Oreochromis niloticus: one gene and its partner. The protein of the gene in region 1 interacts with the protein of each later gene in a pairwise test. Links are inferred from orthologs where the notes say so. Each region holds a gene or a part of one and is shown on either strand. Other genes may lie near its edges. The genes, in order: srrm4 and zrsr2.

What was found.
Region 2: the proteins of srrm4 (region 1) and zrsr2 interact in binary tests that used the Homo sapiens proteins (3 or more experiments, as listed by UniProt). The link is inferred for Oreochromis niloticus from reciprocal best matches to the Homo sapiens genes SRRM4 and ZRSR2.

What each region holds. Positions count from the first base shown.
Region 1 is NC_031977.2:30,369,249-30,385,707, reverse strand, and holds the start of srrm4 (serine/arginine repetitive matrix protein 4), read right to left. Parts: upstream 7,801-16,459; 5' UTR 7,139-7,800; coding exon 6,939-7,138; intron 1-6,938. UniProt on the Homo sapiens protein: Splicing factor specifically required for neural cell differentiation.
Region 2 is NC_031965.2:13,767,695-13,784,120, forward strand, and holds the start of zrsr2 (U2 small nuclear ribonucleoprotein auxiliary factor 35 kDa subunit-related protein 2), read left to right. Parts: upstream 1-10,015; 5' UTR 10,016-10,287; coding exon 10,288-10,328; intron 10,329-10,821; coding exon 10,822-10,901; intron 10,902-10,995; coding exon 10,996-11,083; intron 11,084-11,191; coding exon 11,192-11,300; intron 11,301-12,492; coding exon 12,493-12,579; intron 12,580-12,976; coding exon 12,977-13,015; intron 13,016-14,038; coding exon 14,039-14,169; intron 14,170-14,988; coding exon 14,989-15,202; intron 15,203-15,303; coding exon 15,304-15,359; intron 15,360-15,450; coding exon 15,451-15,560; intron 15,561-15,646; coding exon 15,647-16,426. Other genes in the region: BTB/POZ domain-containing protein 1, read right to left, coding at 388-803; transmembrane 6 superfamily member 1, read left to right, coding at 2,214-2,305, 2,438-2,541, 2,758-2,855, 2,938-3,041, 3,224-3,306, 3,520-3,638, 4,454-4,558, 4,663-4,755 and 2 more. UniProt on the Homo sapiens protein: Pre-mRNA-binding protein required for splicing of both U2- and U12-type introns. Selectively interacts with the 3'-splice site of U2- and U12-type pre-mRNAs and promotes different steps in U2 and U12 intron splicing.

The DNA of each region.
Region 1 (16,459 bases):
GAAAAAGGCTTGATCTTCGAGCTACAAACAGCTCTTGCTGAAGAGCTCATGTTTTCATGAGATTTCTTCACCCTATTTCATAGCGAACGCAGAGCAATTCATCCGCCAGTAACACGGCCTTCATATTTAAGACCTCCTGTCTTAAATATGAAGGTGTCATTTCTTTCCAGTCTTTTCAGTTGCAGTTTAGCCAGATACAGTTTTGATTTTAGAGACAGATACTCAAAATTAGTTCATTACAGAACCTGGGAGACAATGAATCTATCATACATGCCTCTATTTATTTAAAGTTAAAACTTGCAGACTTGTAACAAATGTTCCAGCCATTTAAAGCTTAGAAAGGAGACTTTTTAGATTTGATAACTTTTTATGGTTTTCTCACATATTTATATTTGTCATATCTTTTCCCTTTCCCCTTGTATTTGAATCGAAAGACTTAAAAATCCTTTCTGCTTTTTTAAACTCAGCCCATGACGTAAAAAGAGGCGAAAAACGCGCTGGAATAGTGCATCAAGTGTGAAGCTGCAGAAGGTAGATTGGTTCAAATGGATTTTGGAGTCAGTATCAAATGGGAATCCATTTTGGTGATAAGTCCGATTCCTGCCTGGGGAGCTGGCATCATCTCCCGCTCTCTTGTCAGCATGCTTCAGCAGCCGCATCCTGCGCTCTGAGTAATATGACACAGACACAGAGAGGCCGAGTTAACACACACTGAAAAGATACTAGGAGAGGCAAGGACAGAGATACTGATGCGAGGAGAGGGAGACAAGTCGGGTAAAGATACTCTGCAATGAGGAGAGCGGAAGAACAGACAGAGATGTACAACGGCAGACAAACCCCTCGTCCGTCACTAAATCATGTTTGTCATTCTCGCAGAGAGAAGAAGAAAGAGAGTGATGTTTCGTCCCAAGGGGAGCTGTGACTGCTACTCCTTGATGTTTTCCAGACTCTACAGTATATCCTGTATTTATTTATGCCCACTCTCTGAGCATTATTATTCCTGTATTTGCTTAAATGGGTGTGGATGCTGTAAGCATTCTATTTCTGAGGTGGCTGCCATAGCAATTTAAATCTAAGACATTTTGTTTAGCAAATTGTGCAATTCCAAAACCCAGGAGGTGGACACGCAAACATCAAAAACTCTGAGAGGCTACAAGCCGTCAGACAATCACAAGCTATGAACAAACCGCCACTTAATCAAAATAATTTTGAAGAGAAAACAATGACAAACAGTATAATTATAACCCAAACTGTCCCTTTATTACAGACAACAGAACGAGCCCACATACTTTAACTCTGCATGTGAACTAAACCAGTGAATCTGCTGAGCGAATATCATTTATTATGTTGTAAATATGCCTGTATCAATCCGGTGTGCAAGAAATTACAGTGCTGGAATTACAAGCATATAAGTTTGTAAACTGCAGTGAGTTTGATCATATCCAGCCACAGACCAGCTTTTCGTTTTGCAGTTAAATTGCAGTCCACACAATGGCAGAGGTAGACTTATCATCCCATATGGAAAAGATATATATAAATCTTATAAAGTTTGTATCTGTCTTGTGTGAAACTTGTATGAAAAGCATACAAGAGTGAAAACAGATACAAGATCCCTTGAAAAATTATATAAATGAAACTTGTATCTTTTGGATACTTACTAAAACAATGTATGAAAGTGGCCACTTTCATGAGTAAATCATATAAGCCTTATATGATTCACTATATGAAGTAGGCCACATCTTATGCAAGTCTTTTATAAGTTTTTACTATTTCTTTTCCATATGGCATATTTCACCAAATCTGGAAATGCAACCTATTCACAATGAGAAAATGTGCATTTTGTTTAAGGATTTGTATTACATTTAAGTCTTAAGTGTAATAAAACCAGGGCTGGACTGGGACAAAAAAAATCGGCCTGGGCATTTTGACTAGAGACCGGCCCACCAGGTATTATAGGAAAAACCATAAAGCTTTTGAATGAAAACAAACTCTGTTGTCACAGTGATGTACACTGTCCTGTTGGTATATATGTATCAATCTAATAAACTACACCATCCTCCCTATTCTGGTATTCTAAACAGTACTTAGCCGAAACCCAAAGACTGCTTGGTCAAGTTAACCTCCTGAACTATATACAACACATGGTGGAAACCTGAAATTAAGACAGAGAGGACTAGAGGTGAGACATGATCATTACTGAATATTAAAAATAATAAATGACAGATTTAGATATATTTTCATGAACTATTCATTTACCACATCAATAAACAGCATGGCAGGGTAAAATATTTTTTCTAACATGGCAACCTTTAAAAAGTGAAAGGAAAGACAGGTGAGAAAGAATAAAACTTAATTGACTTTTTGATGGCATTTTACACACAGTACTGGTACAGAATCTGGGAAAATACTGGCATCATATACAGTACTTATTTCTGAAGAAATTATGATGGGACCCTGAAAAAAAATTACTATGTACAATAATGGATTTCTATACATTTTAGATCAGATGAAAAAGTTTGTTGTAAGATTCAGATAATTATTTATTAAAAAATAGACATTTTAAATGAGAATAAGAAAGAAAAGTATTTCTTTGTGCCCCCCTTTCCCTGTTAATGCCCTGCCTGGCCCCCTGGCAAAACTTTGCTAGACCCGCCCCTGCACAGTTACCAGCTGTCAGCAACATAAAAAAGGATCCTGGTGTTATTTGTCTCTCAGAAACAGTTCATAACTTCCCTTCAACTCATTCATGTCACCTAAAAGGTAAACCTGTTTCTCCATCACCTGTTCAGCTCTGATGATTCATTAAGGACATCTCCTGGTTTCATCTTCATGTTTCCCTCTCACCAGATATACAAACCGATATCATGACCAGCAGCTTTTACAGCTGTGGCTCCAGCAAACATCAGCTGATACTAGAAATTAATATTAAATAAATTCTAACAACAGCTGATCAAGCTTAAACGTGCTGCTGTTGTTTAGCGCGACATCCGCTGGTTTCCTCTTTCTGGCACAAAGTGGGCGATAAACAAACAAGAGAGACGATCAGCTGATCATTGATCAGTTTCATGATTGAAATAACAACAGGGGAGAGAGGAAGAGAGAATGAGAGAAGAAGAAACAGCTGCAGCATAAAGACACAGAATAAATCCAGCTTTGTGTCTTTTTCATTCTAGCTGAAGTACGGGACAAATCGCGTTCCTTTTCAGCTCAACACAAATATTGACTCTGAATACCAGACGATTCCGTTTTTTCCTGGACGGTTGGAAACTAACTAACCTTATGAATAAAATAAATTTCAACATCGGTAACATCATAGCACCCGCCCAGCAGTATATAAACTCCGTCATGCTAGCTAGTACACGTACGAGTTATTGTAACTGACTGTAAAAAAGTCAGCATAACGAAAATAAACTACACCTAAACTTGGTTTATATCTGACCCAGATAGACTGCAGGTCATAAGTTCTCACCTGAAGTTCAGTTCACCTGATACTCGGACCAACACCAGCGGCCGCCTCGGGTCTCTCCTCCTCCTGCCTCACCTTTCCGTCATCCACCTGCCAGCGTGTTGCACCTGCTGGCCTCCACCACTTGCTAATGTTGCTCAATCTGTGGAAGCTCCGCAATAGCCACCACCAAGCAACTGAGTTATTTTTACACATCTCCCAGCATCTGGCCAATCCACCACCTTTCAGTGTTTATACCGTTATGAAACACCCCCCCCCCAAAAAAAACCCCATTGGCCCATAAAAACGAAAATCACCATCGGCCCACCGGGCAAATGCCCGGTATGCCCGATGGCCAGTCCAGCTATGAATAAAACTGTCCAGCAATGACATATTTTCTATTTTATGTGTTTTCCAGCTTCTTAAATTCGTGGTATGGTTGTGTCATGACCAATCTGAGAGGTCAAAACCCAAGGATATGTAAATGCTACTGTTTTTCTGTCACTCAGAAACTACTGTTTCAGCCTTAGATGTAGATTTCAGACCGCACCCAACCCCATTATTAATGGCATAATAAAAACAAAACAAAACAAAAACACATTAAAGAAGCAGAAGAATTGTTGTATTCAAACTTAAACTAAAGTTTTGAGGCTGCAGTTAGCTTGCATTGCATTCTGTTTAAAGGTGTTCCTGTTATTTTGTCCGTCCTGCTGTACGTTCCCACCGGTGCTGTCAGAGTACAAGCCCCTCCAAACACCCTTTCTCTCCCTTTCTCGTTAAACCAGCATCTGCTGAGGTAAGAGGCCTGAAACCCCCTACCACACACGCATACACACACACCCACACATACTCACACTTCACCCCCTCCCTTTCTTTGCAGTCTCTCAAGCTTGCCATCTGCCACAGAGTTGGACAAGACCCCACTAATATGGCAGCCACACGCACACACATACACACGCATTACGAGCTTACAGCCTTATTTCAAATCCTCACAAACGCTGAAAAAAACTGCACAGACACACATGAACGCACACGTATACACACACTCGTGGTCACACGCTATACAACATTAAGTTAGGCATGCTGCATTTTTAATGAGAAGCCCCCACGAGCAACACAGCTTGCAGGGTCATAATGGTTTTGAGACAAACCCTACCCCACTGCATAGAGCTGGTGAACTCCTCCCCTCTTCTGTGTGACTGGCCTGAAGAAGAGGATACAGGGAGGACAGAGGGACAACAGCGGACTCTAATTACTCCTCTGTGGCTATCTGGCTCCTCCAGCATTTTATTTCAGGAGTTACGGGAGAGAGTGAGAGAGAAGGAGGCGAACGGAGAGGAAAGCCGAGGATGCCACAAACAGACAGACTCGTGCCGATTGAACATGAAGCATCACCCTGTGGCTCTCCCTCAGTCTCTTCTCTTCTTTCCATCTCTGCTTGTTGTACATAATGCCCTCTCGCACTCACTGCAATTGTTCATCACCCCTCAGTTATCCACAGTGAATAATAATGTCTCCTCTTGGAGAGAAAGAGGCAGAGGAGCAAGCCTAAGGCAATGCATTCTGATGGTCTAAGCATTCCCCAGTCACCCTGTGCCTGGGCAAAATCAACAGTGCGGTAGGAAGGGAGCTAGGATGTCCTGCATCCATAGTCTCTGGGTGTTGCATTTGTTTGTTTTGTTTTTCTCATTATTTACAATCTGTATCACCCAAGCCAAACTGTAAACATACACAGAGACAGGGCGAGAGACAAACTCTGGACAACAGGGGCGCTGCCGTTGTCTTTCACAAATAGACCCAGGCGAATTAGCAACATTATGTCTTCTTCTCTGTGGGGACATTTGCTCTCGCCTGCCCCTGCCATGCCGCCATCATCATCACTGTCACCCCGACGGAGCCCGTGGAGGGGCAGAGCCACTTGAGGAAAGCTTCTTTCCTAGTGAAGCTAAAGTTGAATAGACAGCTGGGCCCCGCTCCAGAGTCTCCAGCTATTTCAAAAAGGCTGCTCAGTTCACGGCAGCCAGCCACAATACATTTCTTTCTTTCTTTTTTTTTAATCAGAGTCCATTCAGTTTGCTTCTAATTTATTTTGCCAGGTTCCCCAAATAGACTTGAATCTGTCATCTGCGCCAGGCTATGGTTGACTGACAGAAAAATTGTGGCTACAATTATTTGGTTAGATTGCGGAGCTGGGGCACAGTGGAACAAATGCATATTTGATCACTTTCTTATAATAAAAAGTCTTTTTTATCCATATCCTACAGGCCAATAAAATCTTTTATAACCAAGCCATATGCAGTATTACGGTCCTGCTGTAATAGAAGCCATTAAGGACACATTATTTGGTTCACTGTGTCTTTCGCTTGCCTGTGCCAATGTAGGATGAAATGGGCCATTCTAATCCTCATTAACATAGCTAATTTCACATAAGAGAAAGTTGATAGTGGGTGTCAAAACCATTCAAAGGTCACCCAAGCAAGCTACACCATTTGACAGATAAGTATATCCATGTGCCCGTGGCTCTGTGTGTGTGTGTGACTGTGTAAGAAGTATGTATGTTTGAACATTTATTCCATTTGTATGTGCCGTTTCAGTTGCAGCAGGGTAACCTCCTCTGATACATTTGAGAAATAGGCAAAGCAGACAGAACAGTGCCTGATAACATGGATAAAACTGTCAAAGCTAGCAGATGATGGTTGATCGTGCAGACAGGAGCAAGGATGGGGGAAAAAAAGGGAGCAGAGATATGCAGGAAAAGGGCATCAGACATTCATCCTCCCCTAAAGGCTTTAAGTGCTACAGCTAACCTTTGGTCGAAGGGATGAAAAGGGGGAAGAAAATGTCTAACATGTTGCTCCTTCAACGGAGGCTCTGGCACAGCGCCATGTCACAGGGGGACAAAAGGACAAGTCTGACATTAAAAGCACAAAAAGTGCAGTCACGTGACCTTTAAAGGGGTCAGATAATTGAACATCAAACTCTTCAGGCCAGCTGTGTTTGGCTGCGTGTCACATGTGGCTGCATACATTAGTGGAGAAAGATCATCCAGATGGCTGCTGGGTGATAAATCAATAACAAAGACATGTTTGAGCTAGGCTCTTACACGACCCCTGTATTCGCTGATTTGCTGATGTACGGATCAAAAAAAATGTCTTGGCAGGTGTAATTTTGCACACATATTGATTACACAGCTTTTTCAGCTCTCTATATTACACATTTATCTGTATCCTTACAACAAAAATTAATCCAGGTGCGAGGTGATTAATTAAATGTCTTTGACTTTTATATTTTTAAGGCATGCTTTTCTAGAGGAAACTGTATGAACTGGCACTTCTTGTATGTATATAAAATTAAAGGAAAGTGTGTATCAACTATATCAGCAATAGCTCCACTACCATGTGCTTGCAAAGTTTAGGTTTAAAGAAAAATGAGAAGTTTGAGCAAGCATCCACGTAAGCTGCTGAAGTAAATACTGTAAACTGTAGATACTCACTCAGTCACTCTCCTACTGGCGGTGATGCTAGCCACAATGACACTCTCTGGTCTTGGGGTGGCCACAGCCTTGAAAGTCCCTTTCCAAAACTTCTCAAAGAGCTGCTTCTCTTCCAGCTGGAAGGTGGTAGTGCTTCCCTGTGATCCCAGGGACAGAGAGGCGCCACAGGGACCAAGCTGGAGTGAACGTGGGGGCTGCATTTCTGCTTCTTGCGCTCCAAACTGAATCACCTTCAGTCACTCAGCCGACAGTCTCCCTTCACTCTCATACAAACGCGCGCACGCACGATACCGGTTGTTGCTCAGGAACTGTCCAAGTACTGAATCAAACCGAGCAAAGTGCAGCAGCTGCTTTGCTCCGTCTTCTCGCAGCAGCAGGTCAATGTGTCAGCGCGTCTGTCTGCTCTTCACTCTTGAGCGGGAGCGTGCGGAGAAGGACAAAAGCTGACCCTCTCCAACTAGAGACCGGGTATTGTTCTCCCAGATGAGGAGGGGTAAGGGAGATTGTGTTTCTCTCTCCGCCTCTTCTGTCACATCTGCTGCTCTTTGGGATGGGGTCTGGGTCGGGTTTGGAAGCCAAAGCGCTCCTTTTTGTCCCTTTCGGCAGCTTCACACAAAATTAGGCATTCCTTGACAATAGATGGAGCATGCTTCAGTCGTGAGAAGTGAGAGACCTTGTGCTTTTCTTGCTGCTGGAGTGCAGCGTTTTAGTGTAGAGATAATTGTGCGCCCACGCACACAGGCTGAGGGTTGAGCGGGTGTCGAGGCAAGTGTTGCAGCGTGTCTGAGGGCAGGCGTATCTGTAAGTTGGAGAGTGGGTATGCCAGAGTGTGTGAGTGAAAATCGAGTGAGAAGCTCAGCTGAGAGTGGGTTGTTTTGTGTCTCTCAGCATGTGACGTCAAAATTGGGGGCTGGACACTGAGTAAAGGGGACATCCTCCGTCATCCTCCCTCACTCCCTCGCTGTGGTAGTCTCACTCTTCTAAAGCCTTGATTAGATTCACTTTTCATCCTCAGATATACTGGGAACATTTTTCTCTCTCTCTCTGGTTCTTTTAATCTTTCTGTCTCTCTGCTTGGATTTCTTCTTCCCTCTCTGCCTTCCCTCCATATTTTCTTCCTTTTCCCTGTGCCTTCTATTATATACATTTTGAAGGGTTTTAAACCTACAAGAACTAATCAGTTAGATCATAAACAGAAAATGAATCCAAAATTGTTCCTAAATAATTAAAGAGGACCTATTACGCTCAGTTAGTATAGTTTTAGTCTTGGACTCCACCAGAGTAACTTTACAAATAATCCTAACGTATTTTATACTGAGCCTTGCTGTAGCGCCTGAGTTTACCCACTGTCAGCATTTGGTAAATGGCAAATGGACTGATATAAATATATATAGAACACTTTTCTGTTCTAACTGAGCACTCAAAGCACTTTTTACCAAAAGCCACTACACTTTTGTTCTATGCATTTAAGTACTTTTTGTCCCACACTCTCACAATCCCCATGTGCAATTAGGGATTATCTTGGCCAAAAAGACTTCAAGGATCAAGCCATCAAACGTTTTTCTGATGGAAGATCCACTATACCTCCGAAGCCACAGCCATCTTGGGCTCTCTTCTTTCTTTTTTTAAGCTAAAGTTGTTTTGCTTGGCTTCTCTTTGTAAAAACTGAACAGCAAGTGGTGGTTTTTGATGTGCTTACAGCAAGAGCTCTGTCCCAGAGATAACTATATAAGGGATATTCACTCTCAGTGACATCATACTGACCCAAGAGTAAAAAAAATGTCTTTAAATCTTTATCAACCTGCTCATAGGCTTCTCAACAGCTGAACCAACAGCTTGTATCAAGCTTTGTAGGTTGTGTTTCTATAATCTTTTGTATTTTGAATATGTAATTACTGATATGTCTACTAGTCTTTATTATGTTGCAAACAGTGTAAGTCTGTCTTTCTTATCCTCTTCCTTCATGCGACACACACACAGACACACACACACACACAGACGATTGTCTCGTCAGTATCTTGGACAAAAGGCCGAGTAAATCAACATAATAAAAGGCCTGGCTCAGTGAGGACCAGCCGGAGCATGTGGCTGACACAAACTTCCCCTCGGGGGTTTAAGCTTTTTCCCTACCGTCACTTACCTCCTTCTCTCCTCTTTAGTCTACTTCTACACGACACAGAGCACAGAGGCACAACTCAACAACCCCCTCCCCAGCTCTCCCTTCTTTTTTCTCTCTCTTCTCTTCTTCACTCTGTCTCTAATGCCGCATATCATCTGCTGGTTGCCATTGCTGAGGACTCTGGAAATCTTCGAGGGGATTACAGACTACTACAGGGATGCCACCCTGTTTATGCTACAACAGAAAACTCAGTGTAATACTTTAAAGGATATATCCTATTTATAGACTTTTGGAATTGCTTGCAGGCTGTAATGTGATAGAGCAAAGCTCACTCATACACAAATTTAACTTTTATTACTATGCTTTTTTCCCTCAATATTTTGAAATATTTTGTAGCAGTATATATATTTCCAAGGAATTTAAGATGGTGTTTACAACATTACTAAGATGTTTCATTTGAGCGCATTAGACAAGGACTGATGGGGTTGTATAGTGGTAAGCAAGAGGGTCCTGGTTTGAACCTGCTGGCAATCTGGGGCTTTTTTGTGTGTTCCCTCTGTGTGGGGTCACTTTGGGTACTCTAGTTTCCTCTTCCAGTCCAAAGACATGCATGTTAGGTTAACTGGTGATTCTAAATTTCGTTTGGGTGTGAATGTGAGTGTGTATGGTTGTCCATCTCTCTGCATTAGCCATGTGAGCTGCCCCTCCCTGAGCCTGGTTCTGCCGGAGGTTTCTTCCTGTTAAAAGTGCTTGCTCATATGGGGGCATATGATTGTTGGGTTTTTCTCTGTATGTATTATTGTAGGGTCTACCTTACAATAATAAAGCACCTTGAGGCGACTGTTGTTGTGATTTGGTGCTATAAAACTGAATTGAATTGAATTGAGAGACTGCCATCCTACTGATCTCTCCCTGTTATGACAGGTGGGATAGGCTCCAAACATCCTAAAATGAATAAGTGGTTGTAAATACGCAAATTGTAAATAAATTGTACAGTTCTTGTTCCATGACACATGACAAAACTGAAATAAATACAGAAAAATAGCCCTTTTGTGTTCCCTTTTGAACTTTACTGTGGAAGATTTTATATTTATAATATAAAGAATTTGGTAGTGTTTCTTTGCAGACAGGCCTTAATTGTCCAAAGTTAACTTTGCATTTTAGAGTCTCAATAGTTCACTAAAAATCCATTTACTCTTGTGTTTGGATACCACTACACTTGAAAATCTAGGTGTCAAATCCATTCACACAGCTGATTCCAGATTCCAAATTAATCTGCTCTGCTTGCCTCTAACAAGATGTTTCGCTCTGAGCTGTGAACAAGATGTCATAAACACAAGCTTTGTCTCGCTGTGCTGACTACATTGTCGTGTGAACCTATCTTTTCTCTGATCAAGAGTTGTAGGCATAGGTGGGAATTAATATCAATGCCTCCTAATACGTATGCACAAAGACACGGTGCTGTACCTCGTCTGGATTAATAATGCATATATTAGCTGATAACACAAAACCTTGATGTATAACAACGTCAGACACTTAATGATAAGTGGCTGCTTCATCAGTGTGCTTTGCATAACGATGGAGCAGAGGTACTCTCAAATCAAACCAGAGGGCATAGACGAGCAGGTACAGCAAAACATAGAATATGTTTCATTTATGGTCGGGAATATCAAACAGCTGTTTCTGCCGTAAGATGATGTTAAGGTTATATTGGAGGGCTGTGCTGAGGGCAGAAGGTTGGGTTTCCTCCTGCAGAGTGTTTTTATGAAGTGCTTTTGCTAGCAGTGGTTTTATATAAAAAGCTCAGCTGAAGGACACTAAGCCGTTGCAGAAAAAGTCATTAATTTGTGGAAAGACAATAATTTCATCCTTTAGCCTTGATGTTGTAAAGGAATGAAGTGACAATAATTGATTTTCAAATGTTACATGACATCACATACATCTAAGAGACTTTGTACAATACTGTGCTTAATGAATTTATGCTCAACCATCAACATAGCATCAAAAAATGAAATAATTACAATTATTTAGCTTTTCTTTGCATCTAGCTTGTCAACAACATCTAGCTTTTTGTCATCTCTTTAAGCCTATTAAAAAAGGCAGCTGAACAGTCCTCTGTAATTTTCTGGGTTAGTTGATACACAACCGGAGCTAAACAAAAAGTGAATCCACTCAAAGTGAAGCACATATTATTTGAGTTTTTCAAAAGAATCCGAGGGAATACTTGAAAACTTATTGGTCAGGCTGAATGGTTTTCAGATTTCAAGCTGACAGTAATTGCAGTTGTTAGAATAGATGAATTCATCTTTTTTTAAGTCAAAAAGAAACAGGCATGACAAATTGTTCGCAAATGTAACATTACTTTTTCTTTATCAATAACAATCAAGCTTTCTTTTTGTGGCACTTCTGCATAAATTGAAAAAAAAAAACAGAAGCAAAGATTCACCTTTTCTTTCAAAGCCTCGCCATATTTTCTTTTCACTGTATTGTTTTCTCCATCTTCACTTTCAGCATGCACACCTCCACATTACTTCAAGAGAAATCAAGTACTGGTATTATCTGGGGATGGGCTGTCACCACAGCATTCAGAACAGAGAAGCCTACTTAAAAAAAGTTTTGAGGAGACATTACTGTATTGCATTTTTCATTTACTGTCACTGCTTTAATTAGATTTGGTTTTAGTCACACAGACCTAGAGGCATGTTAGAAACCTACTGGCAACTACCAGTCACTAGGGAAAAATGTGCATTCCCTTAATGGTTGGCAAGTGTTGGCAGTTGCTAGGTTAAAATGGTCGCAGGGAAGTATATGGGAAGTATGAGGTATGTCAGAACAGGGTTTGTTATTAAAAGTAAATTGAACATTCATTGGTCTAAACTAAAACTAAATGAATAAATAATCCAGTGAAAATACAACTGGGAAACCTACCAATTGCTAAAGGGATAGTAACTGAAAGATTCATTAAATTTAACAAATAGAAATCAAAAGAATTGTATTATATGTATTCATCTTTGGTTATTATAAAAAAAAATCTTTACCATAGACATCATATAAAGTTTTATTAAGTGTGCACACCCAATAACTCGTTTGTAACATCTTTCTGAACTTATATTAAAAAAAGCATTATAGTTGTAGATGGAAGTTTGAACACGGGCAGCCTGACAACTTACAAGGGCTGTTGCACAGCGATAGCGTTTAACATTGGTGCAGTGGTTTCAATGTGGGGATCAGGTTCACAGTGCAGCCACTGCAGGTGGGGAGGGGACAACCAGGTGAAGAACAGCCTGGTTGAAAAAGTCCAACAAAGACTGTTCTTCCTAAGGAAGTTGAAGCAAGCACAGTTCTGCCAGAAACTGCTGCTGAACTTTTACAGGACCACCTGAAGGACCTGAAGGATCTACACCTTGTTTAAGAATCCACGATGTGTGTAGTAGGCTTGCAGCTCCCACACCTAGAGGATCTCTACACCAATAATCTAATGAAGACGACATCATTTCACACACCTCACACCCTTTCACCTTCTATTTGAACTGTTTTCATCAGGCAAGAGATACAGACCTATGGCATCCCACACAAACACTCTGAGGAAAAGCTTTTTCCACCAAGCTGTTGCCTCCATAACCCCTCACCCAAACCCAAACACTCTATAATCACTGGCAGTGATGACAGCTTTCAGGACTCTCATTCCACACTAGTAGTTTGCCGATACTGTTGTGTGATAATTGGCACCTTTATTCTAATAAAATTCATCATAGATCATTTTTTATTGTTACTGAAAGATTAAAAATTGTGCATGGGCCTTTTTATTCGGCTTCTAAAATGGGGCCAGAAAAATTTTGAGAGCCACTGTGTTACTGTGAAGGTTAAGTGTACCATGGCCTTCCTTGATTGAAGATGTGAAAAAAAATTACTGGCTTTAGATATTATATATTTTAATTAACCTTATGTCTTAGATTTTGATGTGCTAGATAAGCTACACATATTAATAATTGTTAAAGTGTACTGAGCAAGTTCATTTTACTCAGATGTAACCCCAAAAAGATATGTAAAACACGATTACCTTATTATGTCAGATATATGCTGTTGGTCCTACAGACACAATGTTTTTTCAACCTGCAGAACTTGTCACGTGCTCTTTATTGCTTGCTGTTTTTCTAAATTTTGGAAAGTACCAATTCATTATTATTCATTAAATTCACATCATTTTTAGTTTTTTTTAGTCTCTTAATTTACTCCTGACACTTTACTCCTGAAACTCCTGACAAAAAGTATTTTGATAACAGTATCAAATTGGTGGAAAAGGAGGAAGCCCCAGCCTGCTCCAAATACCATAGTAGTTCACACCCAAGCATGTAACTACAAGGCTTCCTCACCTACAGCTGCCTCGATGAACACTGAGGCGTGTGAGAGTAAAACAATTAAGTTGCAAAATGTATAAAATCATGAACCTCATTGTGCTCTACACAAGCTCTTTTCAAAGGCATGCGAGCGCTTGAAAGGACAGGGGAGTTGAGATGCAGAGAGAAACTGAAGTGTACTTTGGCCCAAACTGTTAACCACAGTGAATGTTGAAGCTCTTTGGATGTGAGTACACTCAAAAAGTTTGTCCTTGGAAACTGTTTTGAAAAGTGAGCGGAGTTTTAAAATTGCACTTGCCAAGTGATTGGATGAACCATCAGCCTATCACTGTGTTTCATGGACAAACTTTAAAGTGTTGCAGTGACAGCAGCAGAAAACAACAGGACTTCCAAAAATGATGCAACTTCAGAGCAAAAGGCAAATATTCAAATGCATATAGAGAGAAAAACAGTAGGAGACTGTGGGAGAAAGACACTGCAGAGGAGAAACGAGCACAGGTAGGTTTACAATTAAGTAAAGTGTAAAAACAGAAAGATCAAAAAGGGCCATCAATACACAATAATCTAACAGTAAGACACTGATTAAACTAATTAGTGTTTGGAAAGCAGTCATAAAGTGGTGAAGGAGAAATGGAAGTAAAATAGCAAATGTAGCACAAGCAAAAAATTTTACCAAAATAAAACAGGAAATACCTATGACTGAAATATAAAAAGCACACATAATACAAATAATAATAATTCTATTTGTATTTTTTGTTGACGCCACCTTAGAACACAAAATAATAATACGAATGTAAAAAATATAGAATATCTTAAACAGGATGGTTATAGCGGATATGCAAATAGTTTAAGCTTTGATTTGAACTGTGTTGATCTGACCAAGGTTTAGTGGTCATGAGTTCCAAAGACAAGGTGGAGCACAGCACAAGGCTCTGCCACCCTCATGATGTTAAGTTTGAAGCGAGGAGTAGTCAGGAGAGAAGCTGAAGGCGAGCAGAGGGCACATGAAGGGGTGTGAGGCTGAAGGGTGACATAGACCAACAGAGGGAGACCAAAATACACGAGACAGTGAAAGAGGTAAACATTCAGTGACAAAACTAAAAGATAATCAGAAACCTTAATTTGAAATTGCTCTTTTAAAATCCATGCTATGTCAGGTGAAGTGTGTTTATATGAAAACATGCAATTTTTATGATATAACTCAGATGTGACTTTTCATCCCATAGTAATAAAACAGAGGAATAAAACCAAGGATAATAGCCAACTGCTTGTACTGCCCAGGCTCATTACACAACTAACATGCAGACTCTAGAATATTTCATATTTCCTATTTCATTTTCAGCACAGTGTAATCAAGCAAGGCAGGTGAATAGGCGGTCAGGGATGGCTGCGCGAAAGAAAGATCCAGCTGCATGGGGCAAGGGTAAGAGGACACCATCTTGGCAAATTAAATCAGCAGTCTCCATCAGGGCAAACAAACTGCAGGCTTTGAGGACGACATAGCAGATCTGCTTTGCCTGGGCCCAGAGGATACAGAATGGCGCTCATCTGTGGTAAGTGTCACGCTGGGCCGTGAAATATTACGCAGAGCCCCTAAAGATGAGCTAAGGGTCACCTCATAAGCTGCATTGGAGAGGACAGCAGTCATGTTGTGAGGCTCACCCAGAATTTAAGGACTTTTGGCACAAAAGGAGAAAATAAGCTGTGTCTTTATAAGGTAAAAATTCCACTTTTTAAAAATGTAGCATTTGCTTTAACAGAAGTTTGCTGGATTTTTCTCCTCGTGTTCTTTTTGAGCTACTAATAACAAACTATAAAAACTAAATTACTGAGGTGTCAGTGAATAACGCTTTTGGTGTTTTGTTTTCTCCCCTCTGTTTACACAAGCTATTCACAAAAAAGCCAGACGGCAAAGATCCAGTTGATGCAATTGTTGCTTTATTCAACTTGCAGTGCTGCCCTCCAGCCCCTGAAGGCTGAGTCCTTTATCTATAAATACACTTGGCAATTAAGAGAAGGTGGAAGGCATTGCCATATGTCGGATGTTCATTTGCTGAGTGAGACTTTCTGCTACTCCGAGAGGCCCTGCTGTGAAACTGGCCAAAGCTCTTTCACTCTTGGTGTAGACATTTCTATTATGCACTGCAGAAAAGGGGAATGCTTCGAAACCTAAAGGTTTTTTGCAAACAAAAAATAAAATTTAATGAGCAGTTCTTCTGTTTGAACTATTGTAGAGTCTATTCAGCATTATTTTACCTCTGATCAATATCATTGACCATTTACTAATAACCAAACATTGTCTGGATTAGTCAGTTAACCTTCAGATATTTGTATTTCTCAATTAATATGACCATCAACACAAAATAATGATCAAAACCGGCCTTATTAATATTATGTTAATGTATTAAATCACCTAATCATCAAAAATCAAACTACATCACCGCAGTGTTAAACACCAAATCAACTAGTCTTAATCTCTTTCTCTCTCTTATCATGATATGACTGTTTTTTGCACAGCACAATAGAATTCATGATTCTATTTACCCTTTACCTGTGTGTTTTGGTGTTGTTTTAGTAAGTGAAACATGGCCATTTCACATGCCTGATAGACTTGTCAAATATTTATTGCAGCAGTTGTGCAGCACAGAGGCAGCTGGGCTGCAGGAAGTGCTTCATTTCTGTTCTTGGGCACAGTTAGCAATCACACCAGACCTGAAATGTGACAGAGTCCAATTGAACCGTGCCCGTGACTGTTTCTTCATGTGAGCCAGAGAGCCGTATGCTGAACCGTGCCAAAGCTGTCTTTGTGCTGATGCAGTCTTGACAAAGTGCTCTGGGATGCTTTCACTTCAAGTGCTCAAAAAAAATCACTAGTAGCGGTGTGATAAGCCAGTTCCAATCTGCAGTCCTTACAGAGCACCGCGTTGCTGGGTTTCTGTGTAAAGTACTTTCACAATTTAGATGATTGTGGGCATGTTGGGTTTTTTCTTTTCTTTTCTTTTCTTAGGAGCAGCTGGGGCATCTGTGGCTTGGGAGGTATGAGT
Region 2 (16,426 bases), on another chromosome or scaffold:
TTATTAGTTTCTTAGCAGTTCGTATTTGAGTTTTTACCTTTCAAATTGCTTAATTAAAAAAAAAGGTCTGAAGGTCACTTTGCTGTGAGACCTCTAAAATAAGGTAGTTAAATTAATAAGTGATAAACTGTTTTATAATAGAGTACATTCGAGCGAGGTTTTGTATTTTTCATTAGGCCTATAATTGGTTACCTTCTTTGTATCAACAACAGCTCAGAACGTAAACTTTATATAAGCGCCTTGACTTTGATTAACTTCTAAATGCTGTTTTTAATGTTTATGTACACTTAGATCATGAGGTATGCATATTGGTTTTTAACCACCTGGAAATAGTGTGGTACTAGGTGGTCTCGAATACAGGCAGGGCATGGGGTTCACCTGTCCTACCTGAGCAGCGCGAGGAAGGCGGCCGGCTCCACATCAGGCAGCTCGATTTCAGCAGAGGTCGTGGCCATCCCTCCGTTAAACATGGCATCAAAAACGGCACTGCCAGCGGCCAGGACGAACTTATGGGCCGGTATCCTCTGGGCCTGTCTGCCTTTCCCGACTATGAACCTGACGTCGCTGAGAAGCTCGTTGTTGAAAAGGAAGGCGAAGCGCTCCTTTAGGGACCTCTTCGTCGCCTGCCAGTTGTACATGGGCTCCCGGTGAAGGCCGAGGACGGGCGGGGAGCCGGACGGGGTAGGAGCGGAGGCTGGGACGTTGGAGAGCGCTGCTGGTGCTCCGCAATGAGCCGAGTTGGATGCTGCCTCCTGACCGTCATGGTTTGACGGCAATCCGCCACCACTGCTCCCGGTCGCCATAACGACACACTGTTTTTAAGTGTACTTCCACAGAAACGGCCTCGTTATTGACACGCAGACACGCACTCGCCGTAATGTTTTTGTCGTTATTCATTTACGTGGTATCCATCGCAGGGGACGCCATCACTCATCACTAGCTACCTGCTAGCTTCAGAGTCTCCGGAAGTGGCGTAGGTATACTTCCTCCAAAACACATTTTTTTTTTATCCTGAAACTTTATTGTTCACTTCCAGATGGAAAAAAACGAACAAAGAAAAAGCTTGAACAGTGTCTTAACATACATATTTTTTTTTATCTGTGTGACCGTTTTGGGCACAATACAATCGGCAAATATGTTAAATAGAATACAATTAAAATAATAAAATGCTAAATAAAAGCAGCATTTATACATTCAAACGTGGGAGAACGTGTGAGCAAGAGGCACTACACTTTATTTTTTTAATTTTTTAAATATTTTTTGATCATTATGCAATTGGTGCATTAATTTAAGCTTAAAAATGTAAACAAATAAATAAATAGATGTGTAATTTATAAAAACAAATAATAAGCCGTCAAAAACTGAATTATAAAGGTCAGGCATCAAATGTAAACGTTTTATCAGATATTAAGCTTTTAACACATTTGTAATACTTGTTCTATATGCATGGTAACAGTGTTGCAAATCGGTGCTACGATTAGTGTTTTCCCAGTTGACCGCTGGGTGTCAGTTTCTCTTCGTTAAACAAACAAACAAACAAACCCCCTTTTTTTCGCAGATGGTAAAATATATATTTTTGTTAAGCACAATGAACCAGCCCGAGAAAATACATCTTAATTTTTTATTTTTTTAAATATTTTTTTTTTTATATAAAGTTGTGGCGTCCCTGTCCTATTTTGTTATTTTGTAAAAAATTTAGTATTTTTCACGGACTATCACTTAAATTCATTTGCACAGCCCCTATATATATTATTTTACTATTCCCTCCAGCTTAGTATTTGGATGTATAGAATAATATGAATGAATGAAAAAATCGCCACTTCCATCAAATCAGAGATAAAAGAGAGCAAAAAATGGTTTCAGAAAGAAGAAGAAGAGAAAGACACGAGAATTGTTAATTTACGACATTAAGATCTGATGAAAGACTTTCTTTTGACGTTTCTTCTCCAGGTGAGGGCCCGCCTCCACCATCTGAAAGCTGAAGCTCCTTTGGCTACAGTGCATGTGTAGGTAAACAGAGAAAGAGAGCGAGAGGAGAGCAGACAGACAGACCAGACAAGATTGAGCATGCACGCAGGGGCTGAGCTCAAAGTTTTTTTTTCGGCAACACTCTGACTTTCCTCCCATCCAAGCAAAGCATGAACATTTTCTGCGGCTCATTCATTTAAAAATTTCAGTTCTCGCTCAGACAAATCGCTCATAGTCGGTGCGCAATGAGCGCGTCTGTGGGAACGGGAGTGTTCCTGCTCTCCCTGATGTCTATCCCCATCTGCTATTTATTCAATTCTCTCATTTACAGCAACAGGTACGTGGAATCTGGTTCACATATTTTAAATGTTGGACTTCCGGCTTACACCACCAGTAGCGAGGAGTAACTGCACTAATCTGAGAATGATTTATCATGTGTTTTTTTAAAGATGTTCTCTATTTCATGCAGTGCTGAAGCTTTCTTCTTCGCTTGGTGCACAACAGTTCTTATTCTGGCCATTTCAGCTCGTTTTATACTTAAAAAGAAGGCTCCAGTAGATCCACTTTTCTATGGTAGGATTTCTCAAATGCAAGTTCTCTTGTTTTGACCAACAGTGAGCGAGCACCATTACAGATCAAAGCTCGAGCTGCGACTCATATTCTGCATGTTGCACATATAAAAACCTGTTGCAGTATTTAAAAAGCTGTGATATTCAAAGCAGCATGTAATGTTTGCAAGTTATCTTGTCTTTAATTAGAAATTAATGTATCAAATATGTATCTGTGAAGTGTATGCAGTGCATGCATTCCTCAGTGTGGTGAATCTGATCATTGGACTGGAGCAAGACAACATCATTGATGGATTTGTGACATTTTACCTCAAAGAGGCAAGTGTTGCTTTGTTGCGTCCAGATTATGAATGCCCCCACTTCCTCACAGTTTGACTGATAAATCTACACCGTGTTTCAGGCAGATCCACATATCAACACAGCACATGGGCACATGATATCCTACTGGGATGGCTGCGTGCACTATCTCATGTATCTGCTCATGATTGCTGCAATAACTTGGGGGTAAGTCCTGTATTGTTTCCAAGGTTATTCACCACAGCTGCATCACTAAGTAAGGAAAATATTTGCCACTTAATCCAATCCATATTATACTGCTTGATAAGATAAGCTTGATAATGTATTTATATACCTAATTCTTTGAAACTACAATATGATCATCTGGCTTTGTTACATGGTTTGGGCAGGGACAATTACAGAGCTATTGGACTCTACTGGGTAGGATCTTTTCTCATGCGTGCAATGGTCTACATTCTTGGGAATGCTGTGGGTAAGTACACTAAAAATAATGGGATGCTTTTAGATGGCTTGTGTAGGGTAGCCCACATCACCCTACCCACCCACACATACACACCCACACACACACACACACACACACAAAACTTTCAGATCCCGTTTGCTTACAGGGATTTAAACTAGATCATATCTGCTTCTGTTCCCACATGGAATTAATGGGCTCCCCCCCCCCCTCATTTTTTCCCAGGGAAGTATGGGACCCACGTTGGCCCTCTCTTCGTCCTCCATATGTTGTACATCTCAATGTCGGTGTGGGCTTGCTTCCGGATCTTTAGTCAGCCTTCTACACGGGACGTTGAGTTAACAGTAAGAACCTGACCGCCGCCCCTCTCAGAGAGAAAACACCTACTTTTATTGTCTGTGGTGTCTGTGAGATGATTCTGATGAGTAATTACCACCACAGAAACAGTGCAAGAAAAATGTATGGGCACATTTCTCAGAATCAGAATCATACTTTTATTGTCATCGACACCAAATGACACATTCATCAAAAGTGTTTGCAAGTTCCTATGTTCACAATATTCCATCGTTCCCGTGAGTAATAATTCAAAGCCATGCTTTATTTAATGCTGTAATGAATGAGGGGTAAAAACTGTCTGTTTTATTGTTCATATTTCTGAACAGTATGGCATGTATAATCATCAGATTTGTATATTTTTAAACTGGAAGAGCCTTTCTTGGTAAAGTACAATATGTTATTACTGTGTTTTGTTTTATATCATTGAGGTGAATTTTTTCTTCAGCAAAGACTGATGCGTTTTGAGCTGATAAGTCGCTTTACATAAAGAACTGAGGGATAAAGACATAAAATAAAGTAAAGGAAGTGTTTGTCATCATGCTTTTAGTTGAGCTACAGAGCATTGTTATGTGGTTATGTCAACAACAATTACAGTACAGTACATTATAAGTTAGGCAACTATGTCTGTGATAGTGGATATATCTAAACATAACTGATGCCCATTTATTGGTGACATTTCTTTCTGAAACTGCAATACTTACAGTAGCCTCTGTAAAATAACTGCGATCTACCTTATATACACAGAAACATCCAGTAAGGGTTAAAGTGTCTTATCTGCTGGAAACACATCCATACTTTGCATCTGCAAATGTTGTGTTCTCAGGACATCGAGGAGGCTCAGAGGGCAGGCTTGCGCCGCAGACCTGTGGACTTGGTATTCATCATCTACCTCATTCCAGCGCTGGCTTTCTGTGTGTTCAGAGGCCTGGTAAGAAAAAGGGGATCGGCTTGCCCAGCATGCACACAACTGTAGATTACTTTCTTAGCGTTGGGTGTCTCTCACATATCAAACTGTTATGTTATGTGTTCGAGGTTGTTCTTGACTGTTCCAGCAAATGGTGCCAAGACTACACACAACAGTATGAGCCATACCTCAAAGACCCTTCAGCCTACCCTAAAGTACAGGTAATACGGTGCAGTAAACGCACCAAAAACGTCACTCTAATGCTGTAATATTAAGCCACACATCTAAAGCAGTAAACTGTGTCACTGTTTGTCAGATGCTGGTGAGCATGCTGTATTCTGGGCCCTACTACATCATTACTCTGTATGGGCTGTTGGTCCCAGGATGTGACTGGATGCCAGACCTGACTCTTGTACACTCGGGAGCATTGGCACAGGTACTGTTGATCACTGTATACACCGAGGGGTCCCAGGTATGATTTACATTAGACGCCTAACATCTCTAACTTGTTCTGAATATCTGGAAACCAAATGAGTAAGTGATGAAAGAGTTTCCAGGCTTTAAAAACGAAGGTCAACTCTGTGAAAGAGTCGTTTGCAGTCTTTTGTTTTCCCACATGACATCATAGTTCCAGGTAGATTATGTAACGTTACACAGAGACTGAGAGCCGGCTCCTGGCCAGTTCGGTAAACTTTCTCCTCTGTAGTGATTGCAAGTTGGTCTTTGTTTAGCGTACTCTTCAGAGCTGACAGACACCAGTGGCTCTATTTACATCTAAAGATGGAAAGTGAAGAGTTGTGGGAGTGGCTATGGCGCTGATCTCATCTCCACTGCACAATGCAGCCATTGTGTTTGAGCTGCAGGCTGGCACGTCACTCATCGGCAGGATAAGGGCAGAAGCTGACTTCAGACCAAGAGGAATGGTGGTATTGGTGGTATTCACTTAAATGTCAGCTGTTCAGCCAGGATATAAATAGGAAGGTTGATCCTCTGGCAGCCTTGGTTGCTATGAAACATGTCATGTGTCAGCAGCTTTCTATGAAAAGGTAAATGACAGAAGTGTATTAGATTGAAAATCATATGAGGATCAGTGGTGGTGCCAGAATGCAGGCATCGTCAGTCCAGTAAAGGAATAATTCACTCTAAAACAGCTGTTACTTTGTTTTTGCCTGTTTCAAATGGGTTTCCTGTGTAAGCCCTTATTGGTCTGTTATTGTAGATAGATCATTGCATCCAGCAAGAATATGTGGGCTTCAGCATCACAGGATTTCCTATAAGATTTATGACTTTGGAATGGTGTTTAATTTACTGATACATGATAATAAGACAGTAATGTGCCCAGATGGTCTCACTATACCAGATAACTGGGGTTATGTGGGACTTGATACATTTAAAATAAAGGAAACAATAATTGTGGGAAAGCATTTTTTTATGTAGGTTGATTCTAACAGGAAAAACAAAACAACAACTAAAAACCTGTGCTAACCACAGTTATGTTAGTTTTTTTTATTTTCTAATCTGTTTTGATTTTTTTGTATTCAGTTTAGTTTCAGTTAGGATGTTTTCGCTATATTCTTATTTTATTTTTGTTAGTTTTCCAAGTTCACAAAGCAATTTCAGTTAGTTTTATTTTTTTATTTATTTTTTATTTCAGTTAACTAACATGTTTTTCCATATCTACCTTTAGTTTTAGTTTAGTTTTATTTAACTATATTAACCTTGGTGTTGACATCTAAGTCTATTCATTTTTAGACTTAGATGTTAACTACTTCCAGTAGTTAAATTACAAAAAAAGGGGGAAAAAAGACAATCATAAGCTCAAAATGTTCTTAAATATGTACAAAATATTTAAGATCAAGATACACTGTATGGACAAAAGTATTGGGCAGCACCTTTTAGTCACTGAATTCAGGTGTTTCGTTCAGTAATGGGCTGTGCAGCCACTCTTTATAAACATTTGTGTAAGAATGGGTCCTTCTAAACAGCTCACTGAATTTGAGTGTGCTGCTGTAATAGGATGCCACCACTGAGGCAAGTCAGTGTCTGAAATTTCTTCCCTCCTAAATGTTTCAGCATCAGCTGTAAGTGTTTTTTTTTTTTTTTTTGCAAAGTAGAAAGTTTGCGAACCACAGGAGCTCAGCTAACCAGTGCCAGTTACAGCCTATCTGATGCCTCAGCAGGGTCAGAGCACTGAGGCACATAGTGGATAAACGTCACCAACACTCTGCTGATTGATTAACTGCAGTTAAAAACCTCCTCTGTCATTAACATCAGTATGAAAATTGTCTGAGCAGCTGCATCCCAGCGTCAGATAGTGTTGTAAAGTACTCTGTCACTGGACTCTGGAGCAGTGGAGACACAGAGGAACTGAATACAATAGCTACTTTATTGTCATTCAGAACACACACACTCACCAGTTAGTGTACAGTAAAAAAAAATTTTGGTGCACTCACTCGCCACTGGACAAAAATATAAAATATAAAAAAGAATCTAAGATGGAAGAATATAAAAAAAATGGCTATATACGTATAATAGTAAAAGAAAAACTGTACAGGATCTTAGATGAATAAACATATTGTGCTGCTCTGAGTTTTAGAAGGTACCTTTTGCATCTATGGGTTGCTTTGGGATATTGAAAGTTCAATAGTGTGATGTTCTGTGGAGTGATGACCAAAAGCGTCATCTGCCTGACTGCACTGGGCCAACTGCGGAGTTTGGTGGAGGAGGGATAATGCTTTGGGGCTTGTGTTTCTGGCCTGTACACTTTACTTCCAGTGGAGGGGACTCTTAAAGCTTCAGCTTACAAAGACATTTTTGACTATTAACAGTTTAGGGAAAGGCCTTTTTCTTTCCCAACATCTCTGTGCACCATGCCATAAAGCAAGGCCCATGAAGGTTTGGTCAGATGAGTAGAGTGGAAGAACTTGACTTGACACAGCCCTGACCTTAACCCCATTTACCACCTTTGGGATCAACTAGAATGGAGGTTGTGAGCCGACCTCTGTCGTCCATCATCAGTGTCAGGCCTTGCAAATGCTCTTCTGGGTGAAAGGGCATATATTTCCAAAGGCACCGTTCAAAATCTTGTAGAAAGCCAGAAGAGTGGAAGCTATAGCTGCAAACAGGGACCAACTCCATTGTAATGCGTATGAATTTACAGTGGGATGTCAAACAAGCTCCTGCAGATGTAATATATAGGTGACTTAACATTTTTGTCCATGTAGTGTGTATATAAGAATCTTGGTGAACATACCAGCTGTGAAGCACATGCTTATTATCCCTCTCTGCTGCGTTTCACAGGCCCAGTTCTCCCACATCGGTGCATCTCTTCACACACGGACACCGTTTTCATACAGAGTACCTGTTGACAGCCAGCCTGTCTTCTTGCTGGTCAATGTGTTGTACATGCTGGTGCCTCAGGCTCTGTGCTACCGCTGCTGCACACAGCCTGCCTTCTTCCTCAGGACAGCGCCAGAGAAGAAAAATGAATGACAGACTGTCGGGGGGGACAGAGAGAGTGCCACAGATGCCACAGATGCCTAAAATAAAGAACTTGCAAATTCCTGCTGTGTTTGCAGTTATTAGCGGCTGCTATTTTAGAGAGGAAACTGCCACCTGTAAACTTCATGGGGCTATGTGGAGGTGCTAGAAATGAAGAAAAATGGAAATTGTGCCATCTACTGTTTTTGATCTGCTGCTTTTTATTGAAAATCTCTGTGTGTAAAGCAGCAGCATCCACATAAGGCACACACAATGTTACACTGCAGGCAATGGTGCGTTAGAGTTGTGTAACAGATTCATATGACTCACAAAAATCATTGTTTGGTATAAAAACAAAACTGTCGTTTGTTGCTGAGATTTCTGCGCAGTGCCTTCTGTGTCTGTGCCTTTCACAGCATTTATCAGCAAATAGCAATTTTTTTAAATTTCTTTTAACTTTTAGTTTTTTTTATTCAGTGTGGTTTCAGTCAGTTTGCAGAGTGGGTTCCCTTGATTCAGTTTAGTTTTAATTGTCTGAAAATGATTAGTTTAAGTTTAGTTTTTAGTAGTTTCCTTGTTAGTCTTAGGTTTTTTTTAATGACTTTTTAATTATTATTGTATGTCAGGGGCAAAATTTAGGAAAATCCTTACAGCTAATGCAATGAAATCTGTAACAAACTAGCAAATACCAAAATTAAGGATATTTTCTATTTATTTTTTTCTTTTCCAAGTTCACAAAATCATTTAATTTCATTTTTTTGGTCTAGTTTTTATTTTTATTGTAGTTAACTAAATTTTTTTTGGTTTGTTTTTTACATCTACTTCTAATTCATAATAATAACCTTGTTGAGAAATAAATAATTATTACCTCAAGAGGAAAGATTAGTGGACACTACCGAGCTTTACTTAGACTGTGCATCGTTTAAAAACACTTTACACTCTAGTGCCAGCAGAACATTTTAGTGTGTCTATAATATACAATGTAAATCATTTTTGCTCTAGGTTCAGTGATTTCACTGATTATATTCTCTAAAAGAAGGAGCTCACAAGCACTGTCTCCCTGCATTAAACAGCTACTTTTAGGCGCTCTCTAGCCCTCATACAATCCTGCATTCATCTTAATGGGATTAATTGTGATCAAGAAAAGCATAGCACTGAAATGAAATAATAGTTATGGAAAAAATAATAGCCCCTGTACTGCCATTGCACCACCTCTTTATTTCATCCGTTGCGTCTTTTATAACCCTCTTGTGTGCTATATGCTGTGTTATTATATTTGGCCTGTATTTTGTTATTTGTTAATCCAGATGCTCTATCAAATGATCTCTGATGATAGTTAATAAAGTTGTAGACAGACTTTTTTGCACACAGACTTTAGACTTTAAAATTTATATTACTGAATGTATAGCAGACCTTTTATTCCTTTTTAAAAATCTATTTTTTTAGTTTAAACCAGAGGGGAGTTTTGTTTTCAGTATTAAGTAAGAAGGGGGAGAAGTTGTGAGTGGAGAAAGTGGGGTTAGCCCCCAGTTCCACAGGATAGCCATAGCACCATGGTTTATTCTTAGACCAAAAACTAATTTAAGGATTTAGGAAAACAGAAGAGCAAAAGCTAATTCAGCATTTTCTAAGGTGGTAGAGGAGAGATGAAGACTCAGAAGCACAGTTAAGTTTAGATAACTGAATGAGGGGTTTTCTGTGCACACGGCAGAATTTATAGCTATGGTATGGGTGCTGCAGTGGGTGGAGGAGGTCAGGTTGTGGAAATTGCACATGTGAAGAGATGGAAACTGTTAAGCATGTTTTGATGAACTGCTCCAGCTATTTTATTGAGACAAATATTATGAACATTAAGACTTTTCCCCTAAAATCAGTAATCGATTTGAATCCTTAGGAATTTATAAAGTTTTTTATCTAAAGTTCTGCACCCAAATGGACTACACATAAGGATTTAATCCTTGATGTACATTTAGGAAGTACCTGAGGAGGGCAGCAATACGCCTGCGTTGCGTCCTGCCTGCCGGAAATCCACAAAGAAGAAGATAAAGAAGGCAAAACAGCTCCGCATGTAGCTAACATTTGCAATAAACATGTTTTTAGTTGTACCTCTAACCTGACAAATTATTCCACGTCAGAAATATTTCGTATAAGCAGAGAAGATTTTCTCTAATTTTTCTAATTACATGCTGGCGAGAACAAACAACGCGGGCAGAATTACACTGGGTAGCTAACGTTAGCCAAAGAAGCTAACCAGCTGGCTCCCGTTAGCTGCAATGGCAGCGTCCACTCCAGTGATTTCTGCTCCTGTATTAAGGTCTGTGTTTCTTTGTAGGTCTTTTGAACGTGTTTATTGGTCAAACTAATGATTTTGAGACACGTAGACAACTGTGGCATCTGCATGCCTTTAAAGTGTTGTTAAATAAACGCAATAATCGTACAAATTTAGCCTTAGGTTAGATACATTTTTATGAGTCTGGTGGTACTAAAGAAACCGATTTAAATGCCTGAGCCTTTTCTTTGCAGATAGTGAGATCTTTTAGTATTGGGAAAGGTAGAGGGTGGTGTAATATGGCTAACTTAAGCAATTGGCACATGAAGTCTGTCTTCTTCAGAAGCACCAGTGATGGGAAGAGTTCAGTGATCATTATGTTTGACAGGGCACAGGGTCTGCTGTGAACACCGACTTTTATTCTTTAAGGTGCACTCTCTTGCAAGAGCTGTGCAAGCCCCGGGATAACATGGCTTAGTCTCCCATCTACCTTTTGCTCCTCTTTTGTGATTATTGTTTTCAATCTCTTTCACTTCAGTCAGAAGCAACGCAAGGCTGCTCTGAGGAAAGAGAGGAGGAAACGGAAACGCCAAGCTCTCGCCCATGCCAGAGAACATGGTATGTGATAAATGTATAAGTCCAGGTTGTGTTGTTCTCATTTGTCTAGTTGCAGTTGTTAAGCAGATTCTCAACCACCTTTTCTCTGTTACAGATTTAAAAAATGGAGCAAGTCCTACTCCCGGAGAAGAAGACGAAGTAAATGAAGACGGTGAGGATGATGATGTTGCAGAGGAAGAAAGGTAGGGCCATACTGACACTGCTCTGAAGCTGCTCATTCATTGATACCGGCGCAGAACGTTTTGCTGCACATGCTGGATGTGTTTGATTTTGTGTTTATTTACCTTTAGACAGCATCTTCATGAAGAGTGGCTGGAAAGAGAGCGGATTGCCCAAGAGGAATTCAGGCTGCGGTTGGAGAAGGAGGAAACAGCAAGGAAAAGAAAAGAGGAGGAGGAGGTATAGGGATGGGAACTGACAGGAATTTAACGTTACTTATTCCATTATCAATATCAATTAGAGAATAAAATATAGTACAGATGTAGTTAAAAGTATATGAGAGAACCTCTGAGCCAGTCTTGCTTTGGCAGTCCTCGTCAACTAAATGTTAATACGAGATGGAGATTATTCATACATTATGGCGCTAACATTATTACAATCAACAGGACCTGAAGGAGTTTTACGTTGCTTGTGCTGTGCTGTCAGCTTCCCCTCGAGAGTCATCACCGTCGCTAAGCAGCGTATCAAAGACGTTACAGTCGTGCAAATGAACTGTGTGGTCAAATGTTTGAGCATGTTGGAGGCATTTCTCCCCTTTGTTATGATCAAAGCTTTGCACGTGTTGCAATTGTCTCTAGTGCCGTTTTTTTTGTGGGGGGGGGTTCCCATTCCTAACGAGGTAACTGACCACTACTGCCTCATAGTAAGCTTGTACAATTCAAGAAATGTAATAATTAAAGCCACGTTGACAGCACAGTTAGTTAACAGATGTTCTTGGTTCCTTACTGGTGTAGAGGTTAGATGATTCAGGAGTTTACAGCGAACAAACAACATGACTGTTTTATAATGACTTAGAGAGGATTAGAAAGATCATTATAAAAATACTCTGTGTTTTGTTTTCCTATTTTCAGCAGTTCCCATTGACCCACCAAAGCCTCAAAGAATGCGTTGTAATAAGAGCTATTTCCTGTTTAACAGAAGCCTGATCTTGCTTGTTTCATTCAGTGCATTATTCTGGTGAACATGAGCAGTTTAGTCTAGCTCAGTCCAGCGCACAGCATCCTGCTGCTGTAAATATTGACTGGATACCCCAACAGATCCATTGTTCTGTTTGAGTAATGGCTTTTAAAAACTGCAGTTCAGATCAGAATTTTACTGAGTATTTTTAATTATTTAAATTTAAAACCATATTATATTTCATTTCGCTTTTGTATGGGATAAAAACCCAGTACAGCTGACTGGATAAAGGCAGTCCAGGCATGATGGCCATACCAGCTTGATTTAAAAGAGCTGCGTTTGTGGTGAAATGTTTAAAAAAAAGAAGAAATTCATGGCACCAAAATGAATGGAAATGACAGCACAGTGGAATCAGTGGGAATGATTTGCAATAAAAATTCCAAATAACTGTCTTTATGTCTTTTTGTGTCTGTAGCGGATGATAAAGGAGGAATGGGAAGCGCAGCAGAGGCGAGAACAAGAAGAAAAAGAGCAGAAGCAGCAGGAGAAGCGAGACAGAGAGGTGATATGGGCTCCAGGAGGATAGAAACAAAAAAGACATATATATCCTCTTCTGCATAATCTTGAGGTTAAGCTAATGAACCAGTTTAATGTCTTACCCGCTGATTGTTTCTTTTGTAACATGTTTGTGCAACTTTTCCTTGACTGAACCATTTTACTCCTTAACTGAGATACACTCAAAGAGAAAAACCTCAGCTCTCACAACAAGGATGTATCTTTTATATTGTGTGAAAGCTATGAAATCGCTTCACTAGTGTTGAAAGGATACCTCCCATTAACAGCTTTTTTTGTGCCTCTCAGTCTCTGTGAATGTGGTCTTAACCCACAGAAAACAGATATGCTGCAGTTGTATTGACTTCTTCACATTTTCACCAGCCGTGTCTTTACACCATTTGTAGGAGGCTGTTCAGAAAATGTTGGATGAAGCTGAAAATCAGGTATTCACACACACAAACACAAGTAAAAATTGTCTGTCTTAGCCACAGACCCCCCCAAAGTATCATATGGTACATATATATGTCTTTTAATGGGACTTAACTTGAATCAGTTAAATAAAGTTCAGTTAAATGTCATACACTAACAGTGGAAATTCTCCCAAACCATCATGACTTCAGAAATAAACTTTCTGCACCCTGAAAATAAATGAGACACAGAATGATAGTAACTCATTTCCAGTATATAGTATTTTGTATATGTGTCTGCAGATTAATAATAATAATAATAATAATAATAATGATAATAACTTTATTTATAAAGCACCTTCAAGCAAAGTGCTGTACAACTGATGGCAATACAGATAAGAGACACAGTACAAGTTAAGAACAGAAATAAAAAGGAGAGATTAAGAACAAAATAAAAAGAAGAAAACATTTAAAACCTAAAAGCCATAGAGTTAAGACATGTAAGATAAGGTAAACAAGTCTTAGCAGTAAGACTTGTAGTTACTTCTCAGGAAATGGAAAATATATTTCTTTATAAAAAAAATTGCTTTTCTATCCAATCACCCGGGAGTGTGAACATTTTTTCTTTTCCTGTTTAACCGAATAGATTTGGAACAGACTTGGTTTAATGACAAAATATTATTTTAATATTGTTAAATGTTAGTATTTGTATTGGCAGTGTACAAATAAAAGCTTTAGGCCTTGTTTTTCAGCCTGCTCTTTACCCTTCAATGTTTTAAAACTTAGCCAGATACTTTCATTTGAGCCTACTGTTCATTTTGATGATTTTTGATGGGCTTTTCTGTCGCAGGTTGGCCTTAGATTTTACTCAAAGTGGTATTTAGAAGCTCTGAAGTTTTTAATTTCACTTGTTTATATCTAGAGACACATTTAAATTCTTTCAATTCAGTTTACTGTAACTAGTGTCACTGCACTTTGGTGTCATTGCAAACATCTCTAAATCTAATAAAAGACTGAAAACTAAGACAGTTTATATATTGCTCATGGCCTGTCTTACAGCTGGAAAATGGTGGCCCGTGGATGAACCCTGAGGCTCCTGTGACAGTGAGCTCTGAGAACTTTGGAACAGAGCGTGACGTAGCCAACTGTCCGTTCTTCCTCAAGACTGGAGCGTGTCGATTTGGAGACAGGTACTGATGGGTTTTGGTTTCTTCTGACTTGTTAATAATAATAATGATTATAATAATAATAATAATAATACATTTCTTTTTAGGTGTATTTCAAAACACTCAAGGTCACCTCACCCAGAAGAGTTAAGAACAATAAGAAAAAATCCTATAAAATCAAAAGCGAAGTTACAATAGTTTAAAGATCCTTGAGAACAGAGGATTTATGTGAGAAGTGGAAGGCAATCAGAGTGAATAAACTAGTTTAAAAAGGTGTGTTTTGAGATGCCACTGATATGCCCTTGAAAAGAAAGCGTCCTGGCAAGGATGACCCCCAGACTCTTGACCTGAGGCGAGGGAGAAACTAAGGAGTTGTCAACAGGGAATGAATAGCTGTTACGTTTAGACAGTGAGAAGAACCTCTGTTTTATCACTGTAATTTGAGAAGGTTGCAGTAGAACCAGGATTTAATTTCCTGGAGGCAAACACAGAGGGCAGTGAGTGGGAGGTGCTGGTAGTTTGGCATGTGGGTAGAGCTGGGTGTCATCAGGATAACAATGGAAACTGATTTATGGAAGATTTGACCAAGAGGAAGGAGATGATTTCAAAAGAAAAGGCGGCCCAGGACAGATACCTGGGAGACTCCAGTAATAACTGGAAATTGATGGAGTTGAATGAACAGAGTGCGGCTGGAGAGATAACATTTAAACCAGTTTAAGAGTGTGTCAGTGATTTCAATAGAAGCTAGTCTGTCAAGAAGAATGTTATTTTAGGTTAAATTACATGTTGACACTAAAGAGGCCTTTCCCCACATATTTGAATGTCTTCTCTCTATGAATCCAGATGTTCTCGGAAACATACGTATCCTACAACCAGTCCAACGCTGATGATCCGCGGAATGTTTAGAACATTCGGTATGGAAGAGTCGCGCCGTGATGACTATGACATCGATGCTTGTTTGGAGCACAGCGAGGAGGAGATGCAGGAGTCCTTCCTCGAGTTCTACCACGATGTTCTGCCAGAGTTCAAGAGTGTCGGCAAAGTGTTGCAGTTTAAGGTGAGATGACATCAAGAAGCTTTCCTACCGTCATCCTGTCTGTTGTAAAACAGACTCATAAAAACATTTATTTGATTTCACCTATTCCTCTCCTCTAATAGGTCAGCTGTAACTATGAACCACACCTGAGAGGAAACGTTTATGTTCAGTTTGACACGTAAGCAGTCACTCAGCCACTTCCCGTCTCTTTGCAATTGAAGTAACACTTCAGAGAAAACATATCATTCTTTGAATCGTTGTCTCTCCAGAGAGGAGCAATGCAAAGAGGCCTTCATCAAATTCAATGGGAGGTGGTATGCAGGCCGGCAGCTTCACTGTGAGATATCACCTGTTACACGGTGGAAGAATGCCATATGTGGTGAGCTACTTTTTCATGCTGACGACATGCACAGTTTCACTTGAAGACATTCCCACAGTGTTTAGCTTGTTTGTTTTTCTTCTCAGGATTGTTTGACAGACACAGGTGCCCTAAAGGGAAGCACTGCAACTTTCTGCATGTATTTCGAAACCCTGGGAATGAATTCTGGGAGGCTGACAGGGACCTGCACATGTCCCCTGACCGCAGCGTCAGGGGCAGTCACAGAGACGGGTGGTATTCGAGCCGATCATGGAGGCAGCGTCATTACAGCAGGAGCCCGGTGAGATCGGAGAGATCTGAAAGGAGACGAGACGAAGACAGGCGAAGGAGCAGGAGCAGAGAGAGGAGGCCGTCTCACCAGAACAGAGAGGACACACGGTCGTCCAGATCCAGACACAGTGACAGGTGGAAAGACAGGCGAAGGAGCAGGAGCAGAGGCAGGTCAAGGAGCAGGAGCAGAGGCAGGTCAAGGAGCAGGAGCAGAGGCAGGTCAAGGAGCAGGAGCAGAGACGACGAGCAAGACAGGCGGAGAAACAGAAGTAGAGACAGAGAGAAGGAACATAGAGGTAGAGATCAAGAGAGAGACGGTAGAGGCACGAATGACGACGCTCACATGGGAACGAGAGAAAAGTCGAGAAGTAGAGAAAGAAGCCCCAGGTCACCAGATAAAAGTAAGAAAAAGTGTAATGATGACAGCAGCACACATCGTCGCCACAAACACTCCAAAAAGAGCAAGAAGAAGAGCAAGAAGAAGCACAAGAAGAAAAGCCATTTGCCTGAAGAGACAGCTTCATCTGGAGAGTCAGAAAAAGAGGAGTCAGGGGAGGAGACGGTGGAAAATTTTTCAACATCAAGTCCTGGTGGAG